Tamandua tetradactyla: one gene and its partner. The protein of the gene in region 2 purifies or fractionates together with the protein of the main gene of each other region. This does not show direct contact. Links are inferred from orthologs where the notes say so. Each region holds a gene or a part of one and is shown on either strand. Other genes may lie near its edges. The genes, in order: PCBD2 and HNF1A.

Evidence for each region.
Region 1: the proteins of HNF1A (region 2) and PCBD2 purify together in Homo sapiens (affinity purification with mass spectrometry; 4 studies listed by BioGRID and IntAct, with this or other methods). This does not show direct contact. The link is inferred for Tamandua tetradactyla from reciprocal best matches to the Homo sapiens genes HNF1A and PCBD2.

Annotation. Positions count from the first base shown.
Region 1 is NC_135346.1:14,035,630-14,046,542, reverse strand, and holds the start of PCBD2 (pterin-4-alpha-carbinolamine dehydratase 2), read right to left. Parts: upstream 4,407-10,913; 5' UTR 4,387-4,406; coding exon 4,303-4,386; intron 4,222-4,302; exon of another isoform or gene 4,044-4,221; coding exon of another isoform or gene 4,017-4,043; intron 1,864-4,016; coding exon 1,732-1,863; intron 1-1,731. Other genes in the region: TXNDC15 (thioredoxin domain-containing protein 15), read right to left, coding at 8,221-8,417.
Region 2 is NC_135331.1:21,254,614-21,265,340, reverse strand, and holds the start of HNF1A (hepatocyte nuclear factor 1-alpha), read right to left. Parts: upstream 5,103-10,727; coding exon 4,774-5,102; intron 3,226-4,773; exon of another isoform or gene 2,871-3,225; intron 1-2,870. UniProt on the Homo sapiens protein: Transcriptional activator that regulates the tissue specific expression of multiple genes, especially in pancreatic islet cells and in liver. Binds to the inverted palindrome 5'-GTTAATNATTAAC-3'.

The DNA of each region.
Region 1 (10,913 bases), on a different chromosome or scaffold from region 2:
GCCCAAAACCTGTAATAAGTCTTTACTAACACTTTCTTCTTGAAATGGCCCAAAATCCTCCATGACGAAAGTTCTCCCTCACTGCCATGAGTAATACACCCAGCCTGCTCAACTATACGTATGTTCCTAGTGGTCCTTGGCTGGAGGGCAATGACAGTTGCTATTATATCAGTTGCCATTACAGGGTCATTGTGCATACAGCAGTCATAGGAGACTGGCTAGAAAACCGGCCCCAGGATAGAATCTCTGTGCTGGTTCTCTGAATAAATTCCCTGACATCATTGATTTTCTTGCCATTACCCCTTTCTCCTAAAAGCTGTGTGAGGGGTAAAAAAAAAAAAAAAAAAGATGAGTTAATTAAATATCCCAGTGAATAACCTTACAATTAATCAAGGATATCCTACACAGCTTCCTTTGCCTTTCCTTCCATATCTGAAAGTCACCCCAAGTGTAAGGATTGATTCTGGAGGACTGACTCATGGGCAAAGCCCGAGGCAACACAACTCAAGTAGTTTAAGCCACATGTTCAAGCCCAATAAATTAGCCCAGGCTTAAAGAAGTCAAGCTGTACACATGTAAGAATTTTAATAAGCTTAGAAAATGCTACCAAGAGCTTATGCATAAGCTTACTGTACCAATGGGATTCCCTGCCACCAGTCAGAATGCCAAGACCCTAACAAGAGCTGTTGAGCAGGTGGGGCAGCAGGGACAGGCAGTCTGTCTGTCTGGTACAGGTTTCCGCACGAGTTGGGGACTCACAGCAGAAGGCTGGCAGCCACATGGCTGGAATAGCACATGTAGCTCAGTGAAGTGAGTGGCATTAACTAGGAAAACATGAAGGTTTCTCTCTGGTGGAAATCTGTTGCTCACACACCCTTTTAGAAACTAGCAAACAGTCTGCATTTATCAAATGCATGTTTTTACCCAGAACTGTGTTAGGTACCATAGAGAATTACTTAAGCAAACATGCTCTCTGATTTCTAGATGCTGACATCTAATATAAATAAAAACAATAAATCTGTCCAAAGGATTGCTAAACTAACCGAACAAACATGAAAGTCAAAAGCATTTACCTTATATAAATGCAATGAAGTAATAACTGAAGGGCAAGTCATGGGAGATGACTCTCTAAGCATGACTCCATTAGGTGGGGCCCTGATAGAACAGTTACTTTGTCAAGACGGAGTCTCAGGGCGGGGAGGTCAGGTTTTAAGAAAAGTTTCAAGGGCTGGCTATAGAGCTTGGGAAAAATGGGTCAATCAAGGAAGGGGGTGCACCATGGGTGAAGATTCAGAGATAGAAATACATCTACAGGAAGAAAGAACATTTACCAGCCACCCAGGGAAGTCGGGGGAATCAGTCAGGCAAATGTATGTTGCCAATCATTTTCTCTCACGCTCCCTTCTGATAAACACTAAAAGCTCATACCTTTTTTTTTCCCAATGTATTTTGAAATTTCCAAAGAAACTAAATACCCTAGCCAACACCAAATCAAAGCAATACTGACTTTAAAATTTTATTTTCCAAATGACACAAACCAAACCTTTCCCCCAGAGCTAAGTATCACCCAGGTAAGTTGTAGTAACTGCCCAGGAGAATTCTTAAGGAAGGGAGAATTTGGATCTTGGATCCTGGATCCACATGGGACCAGACAACCAACAGTTTCAGAATTAATTACAGCCTAAGGTGACAAAACAGACCATAGCATTAGTAAGAATTTATAATATCTACCTGATTAAAGTTTTTGAATGAGAATTCTTTGTAGATGGCATCTCTCTCACTTAATTCCGACCATCCTGCTGCTTTAAGATCAAGTATAGCTTGGTTCCTCTCTTCTGCTGTCAACCCGTGAGCACCCGCTGACTGTAAAGAGAATACATTTAATATCTGAAAATGTAAAGATTTAGTTAAACTCAAATGAACTTACAGTTCTCTACCTTATGTAAAGATGCAGAGAAAAGTTTCAAGGGCAACAAATTCTCACCATTGTTGGCTCCTTTGTTCTCAAAAGACAGACAAGCACATGGCTAGCTCTGTGCAAAATGAGCCACCTCCATGGTATGTTTCCTTCCCTCCCCTTACTGCTGCCTCAAACTCCACAATTCTGCTTCTCTGTTTATTACAGATCTAGCCAAGACTGACTATTTCCCCATTACCACTGGTCATCTCAGACATTTGCAGAATTGCAGCACTCAAGGACTTGGAAACTTGGTGCATACACACACGCCTGAGGAAACCTTGCAAGCTCACTGACAAAACCAGGATTAGAACTCAGGGTTCTAATCTCCTATGCTTCTGCTCTTTAGATGGTCCCACAATACAATACTAGGTTTCACTGCTTATGCACACGGGTCTTAACTGTTTGGGCTCATTATCCCCTTTTCAAATCTGATGAGTCCTGGGCAATCCTCAGGTAGTGGGGGGGAGGCCAGGACAAATGTACTTTTACACACAATTTGTATTATAACTTCTAGGGATTCACAGACCCTGTGGACCAAAGGCAAAAGGCCCTTGTCTGTGAAGTGAATTTATGAAACCCTTTTCTCAAAGCAACAGAAGACAAACTCTCTCCACAATTTGACCAGAGTGCTGCCAGGCCCAAGCACTTATGTGCTCTGTCTAGCTTGTTCCTACCTGATTTTTACAAACCTCGGTTGTACACCTCTGTTGTGAGGTGTAAAAAGGATGCTAATAAACCAGTTTTTCAGTCTTTCTTCCATGTTAGATCAGCTGCTCTTTTCCACAGCTAACAAAAGTAAAAACTTAAAAGTAAAAGCCTCTTTAAAAGGCATGTTGCAAATTTAAAAATAAAAAGATCTATTTGTTAGTTTCACAATGATAGTTTTGAGCAATTTTACACAAAGACCCACTGTAAGAAATAATCTAAAATTCTTATTCAATACAAATATCTAAAATCAACTCAGAATAGTTCACTAAAGAAATGGAATTATCTGTGCCCACACTGAATAGCTACAAAGAAAACTATCAAGCATGCTGCCGTAAAGCAGCAGTCACCTGGAGCCTACAGAATGCTTCCTGAGTTGCTTTTCTCTGCATGCTCAGCCATCCACATGTCGATGAGCGCAATGGCATGCACTCTGTGCTCACAACAGATGTCTGCCCAGAAACCGAGATCATGACCAGGCCTGGAAAATGGAATCACTTCATCCACCTAACACTCCTAGCCCCCTTCAGGGTCCATCCCTTTGTGGTGGGTTTCCTTTTTTAGGGGAAGTGGGGAAGAGACTGAGAAGAACATGGGATCTGGAAAGAGTAACTTGATTCAAGGCCCAGCTTTCTTACTTTTAGCTGTGGAATGCTGAATAAATCGCCTACCCTCTCTGAATTCTAGGGTCCTCATCTCTATAGTAGGAATATTACCATATCTACCTGCCGATATCTTTTGAAAGACTTAAGACATTTTGCATGTCAAGGCACCCAGTCTAGAATCCGACACCAGGCAGCCTCTCAAATCAAATTCGTAAGTTCTTATCCCAACGCCATGTCTGTACTTGACCACCAACCCCTTGGAAAGGGGTGTACGTTGAGACAAGCCTGGGTGACCATAAAGACTCAACTTCTGTTCTCTCCCCAATAGCCACGCATAGGCAACAAGGTGCTTCTCATCCTCTATCATCGAGCTAGTCTAGATCTCTCCTATTAAAGAAATTCTAAGCAGTGTCAAATGAGCAACTTAAGAAAATAAAACGGTGAGTTTAATTCAACACCTCTCCTCTAGGTGGTGCTGCACGTTAACGTTTTCCCTCAAGTTAACGTCACAAAATATTATTTCCAAAGCAGGAAAACGGACCGAACGCCCCTTGAAAGAGGCAAGAAAAAACGATGTGCCACACACAGAAACTACAATTTATTAATAATTATTCCGAAAAATGAACACCAAAACAAGTTAGTTCATTCAACAATCAACCCGTTGACGGCGGGCCGCGACGGAGACGGTCCTGCCCCCACGGAGCGCACACCCTAGAGGACCCAGCCGCGCAGTGAGCGTCACTGACCATCAAATGTCTTGCAATACTTTTCATATTTATGAAGTCCTCTCATAATTTTTAAAAACAGACCCCGTTCCCATTTGTTTTCCGGCTGGCCATTTCGTAGGCTGTGACGGAATGCTGAAGCCGTGGGAAACCTGGAAGTTGCTTCACTCAGCCCAGCGCGCCGGCTGTGGCTCTGGGCCGAGCCCGAAGGCCGGGCGGACTCGCGGGCCTGCCCGGGCCCCGCTGCCCCTCCGCCGGCGCCGCGGGGGCCTCGCCCTCCTCCCGCACACGCGGACCCACGACTCACCACGACCGCGAGGCTCGAGTCCCGGCCCCGCAGCGCGAGGAAGAGGCGCCGCGTCGCCCCGAGCGCCCCCAGGGCCGCCGCCATGGCCTCGCGCCGAGGGCTGCCCCGCGCGCCGCCTGCACGCCCGCCGGCCCGCGCTCCCTCGGCGCCCGCCGCCTACGCCCAGCCGCGAGGCTGAGCCGGCGCCGGCGGCCGTGCAGACGGCTCCCAGCCCAGGCCGAGGCGCCCCGCACAGGCCGCTGCGCAGGCCCAGGCGCGGTCAAGACCCCGGAAAGCCCCAGGAGTGGCCGTGGTCGCCAGCTTTGTGAGCAGCCGGGCCGACGTGACGCTGCGGGCCTGCCCATCCCGTCTCTGCTGGCCTTCGCGTCACCCCTGCCCAGGTGTCGGGTTTTCCTGTCTGGCGGGACGCTGCGGGCTTCCTTTCGTCCTTAGGCTTGGCCTCGGCTTCTGTCCTTCGGGGTCCGGAATCCTGCCGCGGCGTCGGGCCTCGGAGTGCCGCGGGTTCGCACACGGTCTGACCGGCCCCGACTCCCGCGTGGGCCTGCGGCGAGCGGGCGGAGATGGGCTGCGGGTGCTTAGGTGCCGTCTCTCCAGTTGTCTTTAATTCAGCATTCGCGGGAGACGCCGGACCGTATTGGTTCAAATCTAAGTCGGGCAACCGGGGGTTCGAAGCTGCGTCCTGCGCTGACATTCTTTTCTGCAAGTCCTTGGGCAAGCTGGCTCATCTGTATTTACCTAGACAAGATAATCTGGAAAAGCTGACACCTAGTGCTTTGTAAAAAGTAGCTGTATCAACATGGGCATTGGTGTAGCACACTCTGAGCTCTCCAGATACCTATGGACGGGTCTGGAAAATTTTCCTCATACCGTTTTTGGGAGTATTGTTTCCTTTATGTGTGTGTGTCTTATTAATATTTTTACCTTATTTTGAGGTATAATTCACATACCATAAACTTTACCCTTTCAAAGTGTACAGTTCAGTGGTTTTTAGTACATTCACTTGTATCATTTATTTTTTTACTAAATAGCTTAATATAAGCGGCTTTGCGGAGGATAGCAATATACTCAAAATATATATTTTAAAAGATCAAAGTCCATTGTACAACTTAGCATTTGTTAGCAGTCTTGATTTTTGAGAAAATACTTTGCTTTGAAATAGCCCAAAATTGACTTCTAACCAGACCCACCTTCTTCCCTTTTGTTCACATGACAAGACAACTATTTCAAGAGGAAAACTGAGGGGAGGAATCACACTGGAGGCCTTGACCAAATGTTGCAGGTCTCAGGGCATTTATCCAAGACATTAAAATGCATCAGCTTAGCTTCATTCCGTTGTAGCCTTGGTTTCTTCTGCGGGATGCCTGAGGCTAAGATACAAGGGGTAGGATTGAAAGTTGTGTTTCCACTATTTGCAGTGTGTATTTATGATTGTGGAAAATGCTCTACAATTTTGCTCATTAAAGTGAGAACTGGAGAATGAATTGGTAGGTATGAGTTAACAAGTTAGTGACCCCTTGTTTTCTGTACGTTTTACTTGCATCCTTTTCATTCCTTGATAGCACTGCATGAGGCTGTGGCATCTGCCCTAGTCAAGAAAGCAGCAGCAGTTGCAGCTAGGGCCAGAGGAAGGGCTGGCCACCAATAGGAGCTGTGTATGCTCTGTCCTCACATGCAGCTTTCCAGTTAGTAAGATGTAAGCTATCTCAGCAAAGATTTACTGAGTGCGTCCTCTATAATAGACACCATGCTTGACTTGGAATAGTTTAGCTCCCATTTTCCTTTCCCTCAACACCAGTGTCTCCTAGTGTTCCATCGGGCTCTCTACACCCAAACCTCCTCTCCAGGGGCTCACCTTGCTCCACGTGTCTGCAGAAGAACCACATGTAACCAATCTCAGCCAAGTGTTAGAAGCAAAGCCATGGATCTCTTGGTCATCCAGGGAGCCTTCCCCCACCCCCAGTTTAGATATGAAAATTCCCACCCTGGGAATCTGCCCCCAAGGAAGTGAACCCATATACAACCATAACATCCAGCACAAGGAGATGGGTTAGGTAAGTAATCCTGAAATTACTCAAAGCCTGTTTTGTAGCTACAGTTAGGAATATTATTATCAACAGTAAAATATTTACCACTTGTTAAGGGAAAAAAATGATAAAACAAGGTCCTAAATTAAATTATATGTACATTATGATTACAGCTATAGGAAACACCCAGGAAAAGACTGGAGGGAAATATATACAATGGCTGCCCAGGTTGCAGCACAGAGAGGCCAGGCAGGGTGCCATCCTGCCTAAAGGCTCTGGAGTCAGAATGACTAATTTTGAAACTTGCTCCTACCACTGAAAACTGCATGACCCAGGAGCAAATTATTTAGGACCTGTTTACTCTTGTGTAAAATGAAGATATTTAATAGTAGTGTCAGTCTCATAAGGCTGGTGTGTAGATTAAATGAAACAGTATATGCAAAGAACTTAAAATAGTTCCTGGTATGTACACAGTAATACTCAAATGTTAGTTATAAGATAGAATCACTATGTTGTTTTTCAATATTTGCAATTAAAAATATATATGGAGGGTGGGCCATGGTGGCTCAGCAGGCAGAGTTCTTGCCTGCCATGCTGGAGACCCAGGTTTAATTCCCAGTGCCTCCCCATGAAAAAAAAAAACAGATAAAAATATACATGGAAGCTCAGCTCAGCTTGATCAACTGACTATCTGTAACCTGGCAAGTGATTTAATCTTTCTATGCCTCAGTTTGCTCATTTGCAAATGGAGATACTGGTACTATTCTGAGCATGGTCCCCCCACCATCCCAGCCAAAGCTATCCACAATATGACACATAGCTATAAAGTTGCAAGCAACCATGTGTTATAACACTGAGAAAGGGACTCATCTTAAGTTCTATTTTGATAAAATATCAAGATGCCTTATAAAATGAACATTCAGCTACTCTAAAACACAGGAAACAATTAGTATTAAAATAATTTATTAGTATGCAATCAGCTATTTTATATATTTAGGGATTGCTTAGAAATAGTGTTTCAGAAGGTCTGTATAAACAATGTATTATTATGTCATCTCTTTACTAAATGTGTCCTGAACCAGACTGGAATCAACTTGTAGGCAATGGCAGTATTTACACTTCCTTTGGATCTCAAATCTACCACAATGTTAACAACATTTTAGGGCTCAACTAACAAATGCTGGTTGATTAACCATGACTAAAATTTAAGTTACACTTTAGCATAGGAAGGAACTCTCAATAAAATAGCTTTAATTATGATGAAAGCACTTTCTTCTAGTCATCTGCCTTGTCCACACACTTTGTAAGCCCTTCAAATTATCTAAGTAAAATTAGAGAACATATTCACCAAGGTATTTGACTCTTTTATTTCCCCATCAACAAAGACAGCAAGTAGCAGTTGCACTTGTGAGCTCACACTAATTCATTCCAATTACTCTTCTCTTAACTAAGTACATTCCTGCTTATGGACTCTAAAAGAAATTGCAAAAGAACAGAAAACCAATCTTCTTAGACATATAGGGAAGCTAGAGTTTTCTGAAACTACATGTAAAGTCGGATTTCTGCCTTCTATATAGTAAGCATATTGTTCTCTTACTATTCTACCAGAATACGTTTTCACATATTAAACTAATTACTCTCTTAAAGTATTGTATTATGTTCAAGTAGTGAAAGCAAGAATGGTGAATTCTATTGAATACTGTATTTGCTTATTATAATACTAGTTAAAACACCATTTACATTTTTTTTTACATATTCAGTAGTTGAACAAATGCATAATTCTTTTAAGCTAAGTGAAACTGCAAGTTAACACCTCACTGAAGAACATACATGAAATCACGATAATTTCTGAAATGAACTGAAATTCCTCTTTCCAACTTCTTTCAGGCCATGACTACTCCGCATGTTCTTGCTCTTGTCCTGGAATGAGCCACCGAATGCTCTCAGTTCGAATGGTAGCATACATAATAAAGCTAATTAAAAAGAATAAGGAAAAGACAAGCAACCAGTCCACACTTTTGATCAAAGTGCTAGGAAGAGGGCCTGTTTGGTCATCCTGAGTTACCACCACATTTTTCTTGGCTTCTATACCTGAAAGAGAAATCAAGTGGTTGAAATCAGATAGAGAAAGCACCCAGGGCTGATTTGTCTGAAGTATTATGCGTGGTATGCAAAATGATATGCATCTTAAAATAAACATCACCACTAGTATATCTGGGATGGATTTCATTGCCTGTCGGTATAATCTGTAACTTGCCTTTCTCCTCACCACATCAAAAGAACAGGAATCCATTCAGCTGTTCAAAGCTAAAACACTAGAATTTCTGTGAACTCATCAGAGGTTTCTTAGCCAAGCATCACAAGGGCTTTTTGTTCTCTTTTGAGACCAAAGTTCAACAAGTAACTAGTAAAACTATTCTCAGGAGTCTACAAAACATTTTCACAGGTTAGGTCATGCTAAATTCAAAATGCTTTTAAAGAATTTACTGAAAGAATTGTTAGAGCAACTAACCACCACTTGGATCAGAAATTCTCAAAGATGATGTGACTGCTGTTCCCATCTGTGTGCTGGTTTTCTTAGCGCACGGAACAAAATGGTGCCGTCTACCCTGTCAATCTAATGACAACCAGGGGTCCAGCAGACTTAGAATTTCTAAAGTTCTCATAAGCCCTTTATTTACTCTGAGCAGTTGAGTGCTTGGTTCTGTAGTGTTAGGTATAAGTAATTCATGCAACTCAATATATTTGGAAGATATGTTATAATTTATATATATTTCCAGTGAATATAATTTATATATCAGGAAGTAAAGTGCTCATATTTAACTTTTGAGAAGAGAACTTTCCCAGTTGAGGAAATTTCTTCAATTTATCTGTTCAAACTTTGTGAACAGCATAAAAAAAAAAAAGGCCATCTGTTTTGGCAAATTTTAAGGAATTACAACAGCATTTACAAATGGATTAACAAATGGAACTATACAGCAACAAAAATGAACACATAAGCATACATAACAATATAGATGAATCTCACAAACATAATGCTGAGAGGAATAGGCCAAACACAAGACTGTTATATACTGTATGTCTCCATGAACATAAAATTCAAAAAGAGACTACAGTCTATGGTATTAGGGGACAAAATTGTAGTTTTCTCTAGGGAATGTGAGCAGAATAGCAATGAGGGAGAGCTGATTACCCTGGGTGTTCACTTTGTAAAAATTCATCATGCTATACACTAATGATCTATGCATGCTTTTCTGTAATTAGTGTAAATGAAAAATGTACATAGAAAGGCACAGGAAAAGTATATGGTATGCAAATTATATCTCAATAAAGTCAAACTTTTTTAAAGGTATCTACAATCATAATTAAAATTACCTCTTTTTTGGGAGGGATTAACTTTTTATTTTGAAATAATTTCAAACTTATAGGACAGTTGCAAAATAATACAAAACCCATACAGAGAACTCCAACACACACCCACACAGACACTTGGATACCCAGATCCACCACTTTTAACATTTTCCACATTTTCTATATCATTCAATCCATCCGTCTGCAGATGTACTTTTATTTTTCATTGTTTTATTGTGAAAAACAACATATATACAAAAAAGCAAATTTCAAAGCATACCACAACAATTAGTTATAGATTTCAGAGTTTCAGGTTTACAGTTTCACAATTTTAGGTTTTTCCTTCTAGCTACTCCAAGACACTAGAGACTAAAAGAAAATATAATGAATCACCAGTCATACTCATTTGTTCAGTCCTATCTTCTCTGTTAGAGCTCCACCTTCTCCTCTGATCTGTCTCCCAATCTTATAAGAGTATTTGGGCTATGCCTATTCTAACTTTTTCATGTTGGAAGGGGCTGTCGTCAAAATGGAATGGGGGATAGAACTAGTTGATGTTCTGGAGAGGATGGCCCCGCTGGGTTTTAGGACTTATCTAGCCTAGGAACCATCTGGAGGTTGTAGGTTTCTGGAAAGTAATCATAGTGCATGGAACCTTTGTAGAATCTCAGAGAGAGCCCTCGGTTCTCATACAAGAATGGTTCTGGTTGGGGTTTGGCAAACTGTGGTAATTAGCAGTATCTAGCTGAACCTTGCACTAAAAGTGGCCTCCCATAGTGGCCTCTTGACTCTATTTGAACTCTCTCAGCCATTGATAGTTTATTTTGTTACAATTCTTTTCCCTCTTTTGGTCAGGAAGACATTGTCAATCCCACAGTGCCAGGGCCAGATTCATTCCTGGGAGTCATATCCCATGTTGCCAGGTAGACTTTCATCCCTGGATATCATGTCCCACATAGAGGGGAGGGTAATGATTTTACTTGCAGAGTTGGGGTTAGAGAGAGAGAGAAACCACATCTGAGCAACAGAAGAGGTCCTCTGGAAGTAACTCTTAGGCATAACTATAGGTAGGCGTTTGGGTGGTTTAAATGATCTGTCTAGGCAGGGTGAGTTAGATTATGTACTACAGAAAACTTAGGTTTTGGACAAAATAAACCTCTCTTCCTTTGGTCTCATAGAGGAGGTAAAGTTCTAAAATAAAATCTCTTCCTTACCCCAGTATTCTGATTTACCTTA
Region 2 (10,727 bases):
TGCCTCTCTGCATGTCTGTGTGTCTGATTCTCTTTTCTCCTTCCTTTCTCTTTGTCTGTCTGGCTTCCGTTACACTCGCCACCCCCCCTCAGATTCCACCCCACTCCCCCCAGGTCACACTTAAGCTGAACTTGAGCATCAAGCAAAAGCCAGCCACCTTTCACAAGTGAGCGTGCAGCACTTATAGACAGACAACAGGCATTTGAAAACGAGAACCAAAAACGTTCAAGAAAGCTAATGTGAACTTTCAATTTTTAAAGTAATTCCTGTAGAATTAGATTGCAAACTCACAACAAAAAATATGTGATTTAAAATGCCAGTCAGAAAACAGGGCCACGAGGACCTGCTGTCTTCCCCCTTCCTGGGAGAAGTCAGTTTTTTTCTAGAACCCACTGAATCAAACGATATGTGTGTCTTTCTTTGTCTCTCTGTTCTTCTTGTGCACTCTCTCTCTTGCTATTTTTCTGGGTTTCTTGCTCTCTTCTCTGCCTTTCTGTTTCTGACCATCTCTGTGTCCCTTCTGTGTCTTTCTCCCTCCCCTTTTCTTTCCCCTCATCCGTGCTCTCCCACTCACTCTCTAAGGACCTGACGTTTATCCGGACAGCTTCCCCAACTCTTCCCCACCCACAGCTAAGTGGAGATGCTCCAGGCATCTCCTGCTTTAACTCCAAGGGTTTGGGGAGTCAAAGCAACCTGGGTTCAAATCCCACCACTGCCAGTTATCACCTGTGTGAGATCTCGCATGACCCACAGCCCTTCTGGAGTGTGAGATAAATCCATGCCTACCTCACAGTGCTGTTGGGAGAATTAAATAAGTTCCAAATAGGAATGAAGCATGTAAGGTAGGGCCTGGCCCACCGGAAGTGCTCAATAGGCAGGACGATATTGCTGTCACCATCATCATCAACCACATAATCCAGGGACTCCAGCTCCAAGCTGAGGGAAGAGGGCCAAGGAGAGGAGAAGGTCTGCCCACCCCCTATATCTCGCCTCCTTCCCCTTTTGGGGTCAATCACACATCCACGGCTTTGGGCCTTTTCCCCTCGGGTCTCTGGGGTTCCGGTGCATCTAAGCTCATGGAACTGGGAGACCAGCCTGTTAGGACCCCTCACCCCAAGGGGCTCCTGTAGACCTGGGTTTGAATCCAGCTCTGCCCTTCACTCTCCATGTGGCCTTGAGAAAGTTGCCTAACGTCCTGTGCCTCAGTTTCCTCCTCGGTGTTGTGCGGCTAATATTATTTCCTATTTCAGAGGGTTCGCGGGAGGATTCAACGAGTTAATGCATTTGCAAGTCCTTCATGAGCTCTAAAGCTCTGCGTGGAAGCGAGTCTGTGATGCAATGAACGAGACGAAGTGAAACAGGAGGAGCGACCGGGGAGGGAGGAAAAGGAGGTGAAGTTACCAAGGAGAGGCATGGAACCTCAAGGGCCCCGGGAAGAGCATGGGGTGGAAGTACCTGGGTCCGAGCCCCCGGCATTACCACTTTGTAAGGATTACCTTGGGCAAGTCACTTTGCCTCTCTGAGCCTTAATTTGCTCATCTGTAAAAATGCATTCCGTTAACAAGAGCTGCCTTTGAGTGCACTTAGGATGCAGGTACCCTACGAACATCAGGCTTTTGAATCCTGTGAGTAAGTGTTATTGTCATTTCTGCCTTGCAGAGTAAACTGAGGTTCAGAAGGATGAAATCACCAGCCCAAGCCAAAAGGGACAGAGCTGGGATCCGAACCCAGGCCCAGCCAGTTTAATCAGGGGTATCAGATCCTTTGTCCCACCTTGGCCGCTGGGTTCCTGGGGCTCAGGCCCTACTATGAGACTTGGCAATGCCCAATGGGGAGGATCCAAGAGCTTCAAGGTTGGGGTATGAGGTGGATGCAGGCTGGACCCTGGCCGACGGGGCAGCAGATGTCCATAGAGTCTCAGAGTCATTGTCCCCCACTCAAGCATGCTGTTTGTCAGCCACTGGGCTGGGCAGAGGGCATCTGAGTGGTGAACAAGGCAACACAGGCCTTCTGCTTGAAGAGCTTCTGCGATCACAGCAGGAGACAGAGAACAGACACATAAGGTAATCATGGCTGTGATCTGTGACAGGGGAAAGTAAATGAGGGTAATAGGAGAGAGAGTCACAGGGGTAGGGCCCACCTTTGGATGGGATGGTCAAGGGGCACCTCTCTGAGGAGGGGACATTTGAGCTGAAAGGAGAATGAATCTGCCATGGTAAGATCCAGAAAGTAGGCTCCACGCAGGAGGGACAGCACGTGCCAAGGCCCTGAGGCAGGCATCGGCTTGGTATGTCAAGGGACAGCAATGTCAATGTGACTGGAGCAAAATGACTAAGGGAGAGAGAGGTCAGGGAAGAGGCCAGGGAGGCTGGCGCGGGGACCAAGGCACGGAGTTTGGATTTCATTTGTTGTCCAGGTGGGGAAACTGAGGCAGAAGGCGGGAAAGAGACATGCTCAAGGTCATGCAGTGAACTAAGAGTGGAGACTAAGGGAAGCACTCAGGGTCTTGCTGTGACCTTAGGCACAGGGCACCCCAAAGGAGTTCTGGGACCCGGCACCCACCCCTGCCTTCTCCCAGACATTTGTCCCCTCCAGAGAATCAGCTTCCACTCAAAGTCCTGCGCCGCACCATCTTTGTCCAGCTTCAACCTCACCCAACACCCCGGCGTCCATCGAGGTTCCCCACCTTTCTCTCTGGCTTCTTCCCCTGCCCTGAGGCCAGAGGGCCCACTTTTTTTCCCTCAGGGCGTTTTCAGCTGCCTTTTGTTACCTGAACAATAAGTAACCCAGGTAGTTAGTTATAAACTCCACAGGAACAAGGAGCTGGTTGATAATTTATAGCAACATCTCAAATTTAAATGGAAAGTAAATAGCCTGCTGTTAGCATTAAAGAAAACCCAGTCGGGGTGGGCGGGGGAAGCACTCTAGCCTCCTCTCAGCTTGGGGTGCCGCAGTCTCTCCCCAGCGGGCCTGGGGTCCCTCCACCCTCCTTGGCCTGGGCTCTGCGCTACCTCTGCAGGCCTCTCTGTCTGTCTCCCCGGGGCCCTCTCTCGGCCTCCCCGCCTCCCCTGTCTCCCTCGGCTTCCTGGAATGCCCCGGGTCCCCACTGGCCCCCAGGGAGCACTTTGACCTCTGTTCCTTCCTCAAGAGCTGTGGATCAAGCCTCCCCCCCCACCCCGGCATCTCACCAAAGGGGCTGCTGATCAAGAGGCCCCACCTAGCCAGGTAAGAAAGGCCCCTGGCACCCCCTGCCCCCGCGCCCATCCGGGGCCCTCGGCGGGTCTGGGCCAGCCCCACCCTGCCCAGGTTGTCCTCGCCCTGGCCTGGCCTGTGCCTGTGCTCCTCCCTGCCGCGCGAGCGCCCTTTGCCCTCGTCTTCCTGCCAAGTCGGGGGCCCCCCGACCGCTCTCCTGTCCCCTTCCCGGGCCCTCGGGAGTCCTGGCAGACCCAGAGGTTTACGTGAGGTCACCGGGAAGGCCAGGATCCACCAGCCCTCCCCCACCCCAAGCCAGGATCAGGACCTTGGACAGAAAAGAAACGCTTCCTTGCAGAGAGTCTTTGGGACCGGCCCTCAGACCCCCCCAAGGCACCGCAGGCCCCTAGTCAGAGAGATCCGGGGCACCGGAGAGTATGGGGTTTGGAGTCCCACCTGGGCGTCCTTAATCAAGCAACTCGCTGAGCCTCAGTTTACCCATCTGTGACGCAGCATTATCAATAGATAACCAACTATTAGATGGTTAATACTAATGGATAACAGTTCCTTGGGTGGGGGGGGGATCTCAACGTTGATTATGAATGGGAGGCCTCAGCACAGTACCTGGGGGGTCGTACCCCTCAGCATGCTGGTGGGGGTTAGGGTGGAGGTCATGGAGCCTCCCCACCCCACGCTCCCCCGTCCCCACCCCCTCTGGGAGGTGGGGGTTTGGTTTGCTCAGGCTTCTGCAGGCCACCGTCCCTACAAGTTAATGATCACAGGCCTTATCAGAGCCTTTTGCCATTTATAAATTTATAAAACAAAAGAGAAATAACAAAGCCCGTGGGTAATTAGTAACCAGGTCAGCTCTGCTGAGGAGAGGGGAGGCATTGAGCACAGGACCCACCCAGTTCTCCAGGAGATGGGGAGTCAGCCAGCGGACAGGGGTACGGGACCGGGAGGCTGCTAATGGCGCCTGCTGGCAGGGTGGGGGGGCCTGTGGCTGAGCAGGAAAGGGAGCAGCTCCTGACCCAAGTTTCCATCTTCCCCAGGTAAGACAGACCTGGGCTTCCCCTGCCTGAAAGTCTTGAGTCCCAGGGTGGCCAGGGAAGCCCCTCAAACCCCAGCCTCAGCCCTTCTCCCCTGCCACGCTTCTTGGGCCCTGAGTCTATACCTGGAGGCCTTGGCGGGGAAGTTAGAGTTTGGGGGATTGAAATGGCCATGCTGGCTAGAAATTTCTACCACCCTGTGGCTCTCTAGGCATTGGGGTTGTGGGCTCTGCTGATATTTCCGCCTTTTCCGAGCTCCCCTGGAGCATGTCTCCACCTCCCAGGTGCTGGGCTGAAGGCTCAGGTTCAAGGAGGCACAGGACTCTGCAGAGGGGCTGCCCGGGGACTGGGTCTCCTTCCCCCAGGCAAGGACCCCTCTGAGCCCCTGTGGGCCCCGTCCCCCTTCCTGACACCTAGGCTCAGGGCCGCAGCTCATAGGGACCTGGAACTCTGAAGAGCAGCTGCTCAAGAGCTGGGGCTGGGCCCCTCTGGGCTCCGTCTTGGGACCTGGGGGCAGGGGAGGGGTCCTTACTGCAGAAGGGTCTCCACCACGGCCTTCTGGTGGGCCGCCTCCTCGGGGCTGAGGTTCTCCAGCTCCTTGAGGATGGGCGGCGTGAAGTCTTCCCCGTCGTCGTCCGTCTCGTCCTCGGAGCCCCTCGTCTCCCCCAGCCCATTGGGGAGCTCGGCCAGCTCCCCGCGGCCACCGCTGCCGGCCTCCGCCTTGTCCAGGGGGCCGTCTCCTCCGGCCAGCAGGTAGGGCCCCGGCTCCCCCAGCGCCTGGATCAGCGCCTCTTTGCTCAGGCCCGACTCGAGCAGAGCGGCCAGGAGCTCGGTCTGCAGCGGGCTCAGCGTGGACACCATGGCTCCGCTGTCACGTGTGGGCCGGCCGCCCGCCCGCCGGCCGGTGGGCGCAGACCGGGCGCCCTGCACCCCCAGAAGCCCGCGAGCCAAGCCCCGTGGGCACCCCCAACCCCCAACCCTGGCCCCGGCGGCCGGTGAATCAGGGCCCCTGCCCGCTCTGTTTACATTGGAGCTGGGGAAATTCTCCAAGGTTCATATTTATCCGTGTGCTTAGCGAAGGGCCTGAACTTTGGACTTCAGCCCTGCGGCGCGCGGAGTGCAGGCCTCATGGCGGACGGGGAGCCCCGGCCTAGCCCGGGAGTGCGGGGTGGGGGAGGAGAGGGTGGAGGGCCCCAGGGCGCCCCGGATGCGTGGGCACTGGCAGCCAGGGAGGCCTTGGGGTGAGCAGCGCTGGGTCCCACTCCTAGGACCTTGCAGGGGGTCAGACTGAGGCAGGAGAGCAAAAATAATAATAATAAACACGCGTCCCCTTTTGGGGGAAAAAAGCAGCAAAGGCGTTCTGGGCAGCTGAGCCAGCTCCCCTCAAGGGCAGGGTAAGTCGCATTCATTTTGGGGGATCACCCTTCCCCCCACCACCACCCCCAGGCTCAACAACCAGACCTCCCCATAGGGAAAACGTGTTGACTTCAGTCTACTGTGTTTGAGGAAGGCTGCTGGGTCTGAGGGGTGCCCGATTGCTTCATTGTTTCTACCTGACACTGTGGGAAGCTGTAGGGATTACCCCCGTTTTAGAGAGAAGGAAACTGAGGCTCCGAGACGTGAAGCGATTTGCCCAAAGTCACACAGCCTCCGAGGGAAGAGGCTTGCAGGGCCGGGACTCTGTAAGGAGACAGAGGCACAAAATTTAAGGGGGCACCAAAAAATTCAGTACCCCACATTAATACTGTGATGCAATGTCTTAAAAACTTAAAAGGAATGCAAAGTCCAAGAGAATGAAGAACTTGTCCACACAAGAACTTGTATATAAAATTCAGAGCAGAATTATTCCTAATAGGAGGAAGCAACTCAGATGTCCATTACCTGATGAATGGGGAAATTATAAAACGAATAAAGTACCGGTCCGTGCTACAGTATGGACGAACCTAGAAACATTACGCTAAGTGGAGGAAGCCAGTCCCTGAAGGCCACACTGTTTATGATTTCATTTTATATGAAATGTCCAGAAGAGGCAAATCTAAAAAGATGGAAAGTAGAATAGTGACTGCCAGGGAGCTTTGGGGGGAGGATGGGGAGAAGGGGCTTAGATGGAGCAGCTGTTAACGGGCTTTCTTTTAGGATGATGGGAATGTTCTCAGATTGATTGTGGTGATGGTTGTGCAACCTTCAATCCTCTAAAACCACTGAACTATACACTTCCGAAGGATGAATTTTACGGGGCATGAATGATAGATACATCAATAAAACATATTTTTTACCTGAATGCAGAAAAGTCCATGATGAACAAATGTCAAGAAATTAAATTAGGCCAGGGTCCAGCCCTGCACTTCCACGGCCTGCCTCCCTCGGCTCTCCCTGAGCCCAGCCCTGGGTGAGAGCCTCCCCGCCACGCACCCCTTCCCTTGTTTAGCCACAGCTTTCACAGCATTCGACGTCTCCCGGGAGGGAGGCACACTCTTTCCCCGAGGAGGCTGGGTGGTGCTGAGGGGCCATCCCCACCCCCCCTCCCCAAGCTGGGGCATTTCCAGAGAGCCCTTGAGTATCTTGCGGGAGTTTGCAGAGTCAGGGTCAGGTTTGGCCAAGAAGGAAGAGAAGGAGCCATCAGCCTGGGCACCTGCCATGTGGGCCAGGCCAGCAGAGGAAAGGGGCCTGGCCAACGATGGGTAAAATCCGAAGCTCTGCCCCCAAGTCAGAGCAAATCCACCTTCTCTGTCTGTTCGCCACCCCACCCCACCCCCACAGAGCCTGCGCTCCAGCCCCTTACTCGCTTTACTTCTTCATTTTTGCACAGTTCTCATCATTGTCCAAGATACTTCACACTGGGTGTAGCTAATGAGGACGTGCACTGTGGCTTACGGCCCTTAAGATGATGCCATTTGAGATATATTATGTTAGGTTTTTTAAAATTAAATTTAAAAATAAGAAAACATTTAAAAGGTTTAACCTAAAAACTTTTTAAATTAAAAAAAATACGTATTTTCACCTGTTTCTCTTAACTTTTTTAACGGTGCTACTGGAGCATTTAAAATGGCATAAATGTGACTTGCATTATATTTCTGTTGGACGGGCCCGCTGTCTGATTGACTCACATATGATGTTGATTATTTATGGACCCCTCTCTGCCAGCCTGTGAGCCCCGTGAGAGCAGGGCTTTTGTCTGTCTAATTCACTGCTGTATCCCCAGCGTCTGGAATAGTGCATAGTAGGTGCTCAATAAATGTACTGAATGAATGACTGAGTGGGTAAGGTTCATTATGCACTGACGATGTCTACTTAGCTCTGTGCTAAGCTTTAGCCACGCATGTGATTCTCAGAACAACTCTATGAAGCTGTAATTATCCCCATGCTGCAGGGGAGGAAACCCGCTCAGAGAAGGGAAACGGCTTGCTCCGAAACCGCCCCCCCCCCCCCGCCAGGTTTTAAACCCAGGCTGGCCACAGAGGTTGACACCAGCTGTGCGACTGGTGGCAAGCTGCTCAGGGACTGGGCAGCCTCCTGCTTGAATTCTCAAGTCCAGGAATTCTGTCCTGGATCCTAAGCCACACTCCATCAGTGTCCCTTCCTGGCTTCCCGGTCCTGGCTTATTCCCCTCGGCAGGGAGGGAACTTGCTGCTGGCAGTCGGTGACTTTTCACCTAGAACAGGGACCCGAGAAGGAGCAAGGGAGGAGGGGGGGTGCTGGATGTTTGGCACAACTTTTGAACTCATGTTGTACTGGAGGCCAGGCAGCTGGACTGGTGACTGCGACTGAAAGTAAACTTGGTTGGAGAAGGGATGGCGGGGTGGGGGGAGGGGAGAGCCTCCTGGGGCCTCCCCTGGTGGGGGTGGGGGGGTGGGGGAAGAGTCACTCTGATGGATAAAAAGGCCTGTCAGTCACCTAAGCCCGCCCTCCCCACCCTCACTGGGCAAAGTGGAATTAACTCAGTGTGGGGGGAGGCGGTTTGCCTTCCTGAGAATTTGCAGGGCCTGGCTTAAATTTCACTGTGCATACCCACCAGCAACCTTGCCCAGCTGGGTGGCTTCCCTCTCCCACAAAATAAAGATATGGATCTCGTAGAGTTGCTGTTAAGACAGTTTCTATAAAGAGTATAATGAAAGGATCCCAGACTTTCTTGGTTCAAGACACCCTTAGTGTCTCAACATTTCCGCGACATCTCTAGCCCTCTTCCCCCCACTAAAAAACCAACAGTCATGTTTAGTAAGCGGTTAGGTCAAAACAATAAATATATATGCCCTAACAATTTAGTGGTCACTTGAGAAAACAATAAAGAAGGCATATACATTGAAAGAAAATATTTTTAATTCATTCTTAAATAACCTTAAGAACCTACCAACAGGAAAACAAACAAACAAAAATAGAACATACCAACAAGATACATCTGTCTTCGGGGCTCTGCGAAGATTTTCGAACCTTGGAATCAGATTGGACACTACACCCTCATTTCCTGTTCCACAATGATTTTTGCAAGATACTTGCTCTTTTTAAAAATATATTTTTTATTGAGAAATATCCATACACATGCAGTCCAATCATATTATACAATCATTGCCTCACCACATCATCACATGGCTGTGTATTCTTCACCATGATCATTTTTAGAATGCTTGCATCACTCCAGAAAAAGAAATAGAAAGAAGAAAAAGAACTCATACAACCCATACCCCTTACCCCTCCCTCTCATTAACCCACAGTATTTTAATCTATCCAATTTTCACCCTTTATCTCCCCCATTATTTATTCATTTTTTTTCTCCTTAATATTATTTTTTACTCATTTGTCCATAAAGGATACTTGCTTTTTTTTTTTCTTTTGACATGGGCATGCTCTGGGGATCGAACCTGGATCTTTGGCTTGGCAGGCGAGAACTCTGCCACTGAGCCACCATTGCACCACTCAATGCTTGCTTTTTAATCACAGCAATTGCCAGAAGCCCAGCTTCACACCGCTATGACATCGTTGGAAGGAGTGCATCTTCAGCGAACCACGAAATCGTGTTCCACCTTGAGCTAGCAGTTTGCAAAGCGTCCAACAGATGCCGCTGTGTTTCCATGAAAAATCCTCTAAAATGGTCTGTGGCCCTGAGCCACTTCACTGCACAATTTGAGAACCGTAGGTCTAATGGTTGTCCCCTGGACATAGCAGATATTCAATAAACGGTAGCTGGGCACTTTTTCACGATCCTCTCCTACTTGGTGAGTAGCTGTCTGCAAGTCTGAAAATTTTTTGAGGTCCAGGCAGGACACAAGGCTTCTCCTTTGCCTTAAAAGCCAGAGTAAGAGCGGTGCCCTTTCGACTGCACTGCCCACCCCCCCCCAGCACCCACCCCGGCTGTTGATTTTAATCCAGACCATGCGACAGGACCCACCTGTATTTCAACTCGATGATTCTCCCCTCTGCCCCAATTTCCACCACTTAATCTTTATTGGGCAATATTTTTAAACAGGATTTATTTTTTAGAGCAACTTTTTTTAGGTTTATAGAAAAATTGTGCAGAAAGTACAGCCCCCGCTCAGTTTTCTCCTGTCTTGCATTAGTGTGGTACATGTGTTACAGTTGATGAACCAATATGGACACATTATTAGCAACTAAAGTCCCTAGTTGACATTAGGGTTCATTCTTTGTGTTGCACAGCTCTATGGGTTTTGACAAATGTGTGATGTCGTGTGCCCACCCTTACAGTATCATATAAAATTTCTGCATGATCTAATTTAACTCATCGCAACAGTCTCACGAGGTAGGTACTTTCATTCCCATTTACAGGAGGAAACTGAGGCTCAGAAAGGAAAAAAAGCCCCATGGGAAGGAAAGAATGAGAGCTGAGCTGCGTTTGTTTCATTGTCATCCCCTTCTTTAACAGCAGAGGGCTCTCTGCTTCCTCACTGCAAAAGTTTCCAACCCTGCCCTTCCCTAAGAATTCCCAGAGTCGTGGGCTAAAAAAATTCAGATTCCAAAGCCCCACCCCTACTGTTCCTGCACCAGACTTTCCAGAGGGAATGCCAAAGAACCTTTCTTTTGAACAAGATCCTCAGGCAATTCTTGTGGTCAAGTAAGTTTCCAAAGCTCTGTTTGAAACAGCCTCTTGGCTGTCTCAAGGTGTTTACAAGTGAAGGCAAATAACCTGGTTCCAACTAGCCAAAGCCCAAAACAGACAGCCTAAGATACAAGGGCACTGATGGAACTGAGCAAATTGATCCCTTAGCTGGGGCTCCATACTTCCATCCTAGGGCTAGTTGAGACCACTGTTAGCAGAACAAATTGTTGCACGTTTCACCAGGTGCTAGTTGTGGCACCTTGTACAAGTGCCGTAACTGCGTGGAGCCTCTGTCTCCCCATCTTAAAGTAGGGATAATGTGGGACCCAACTCACACCTGGGTGTTGTTTCTATTTAATTTCATTTTGTTTTCAAACCACTTCCTCTGATATGCAAGAAACATACTAGACACGAAGGAAGCCCAATCAAGCTCTCAG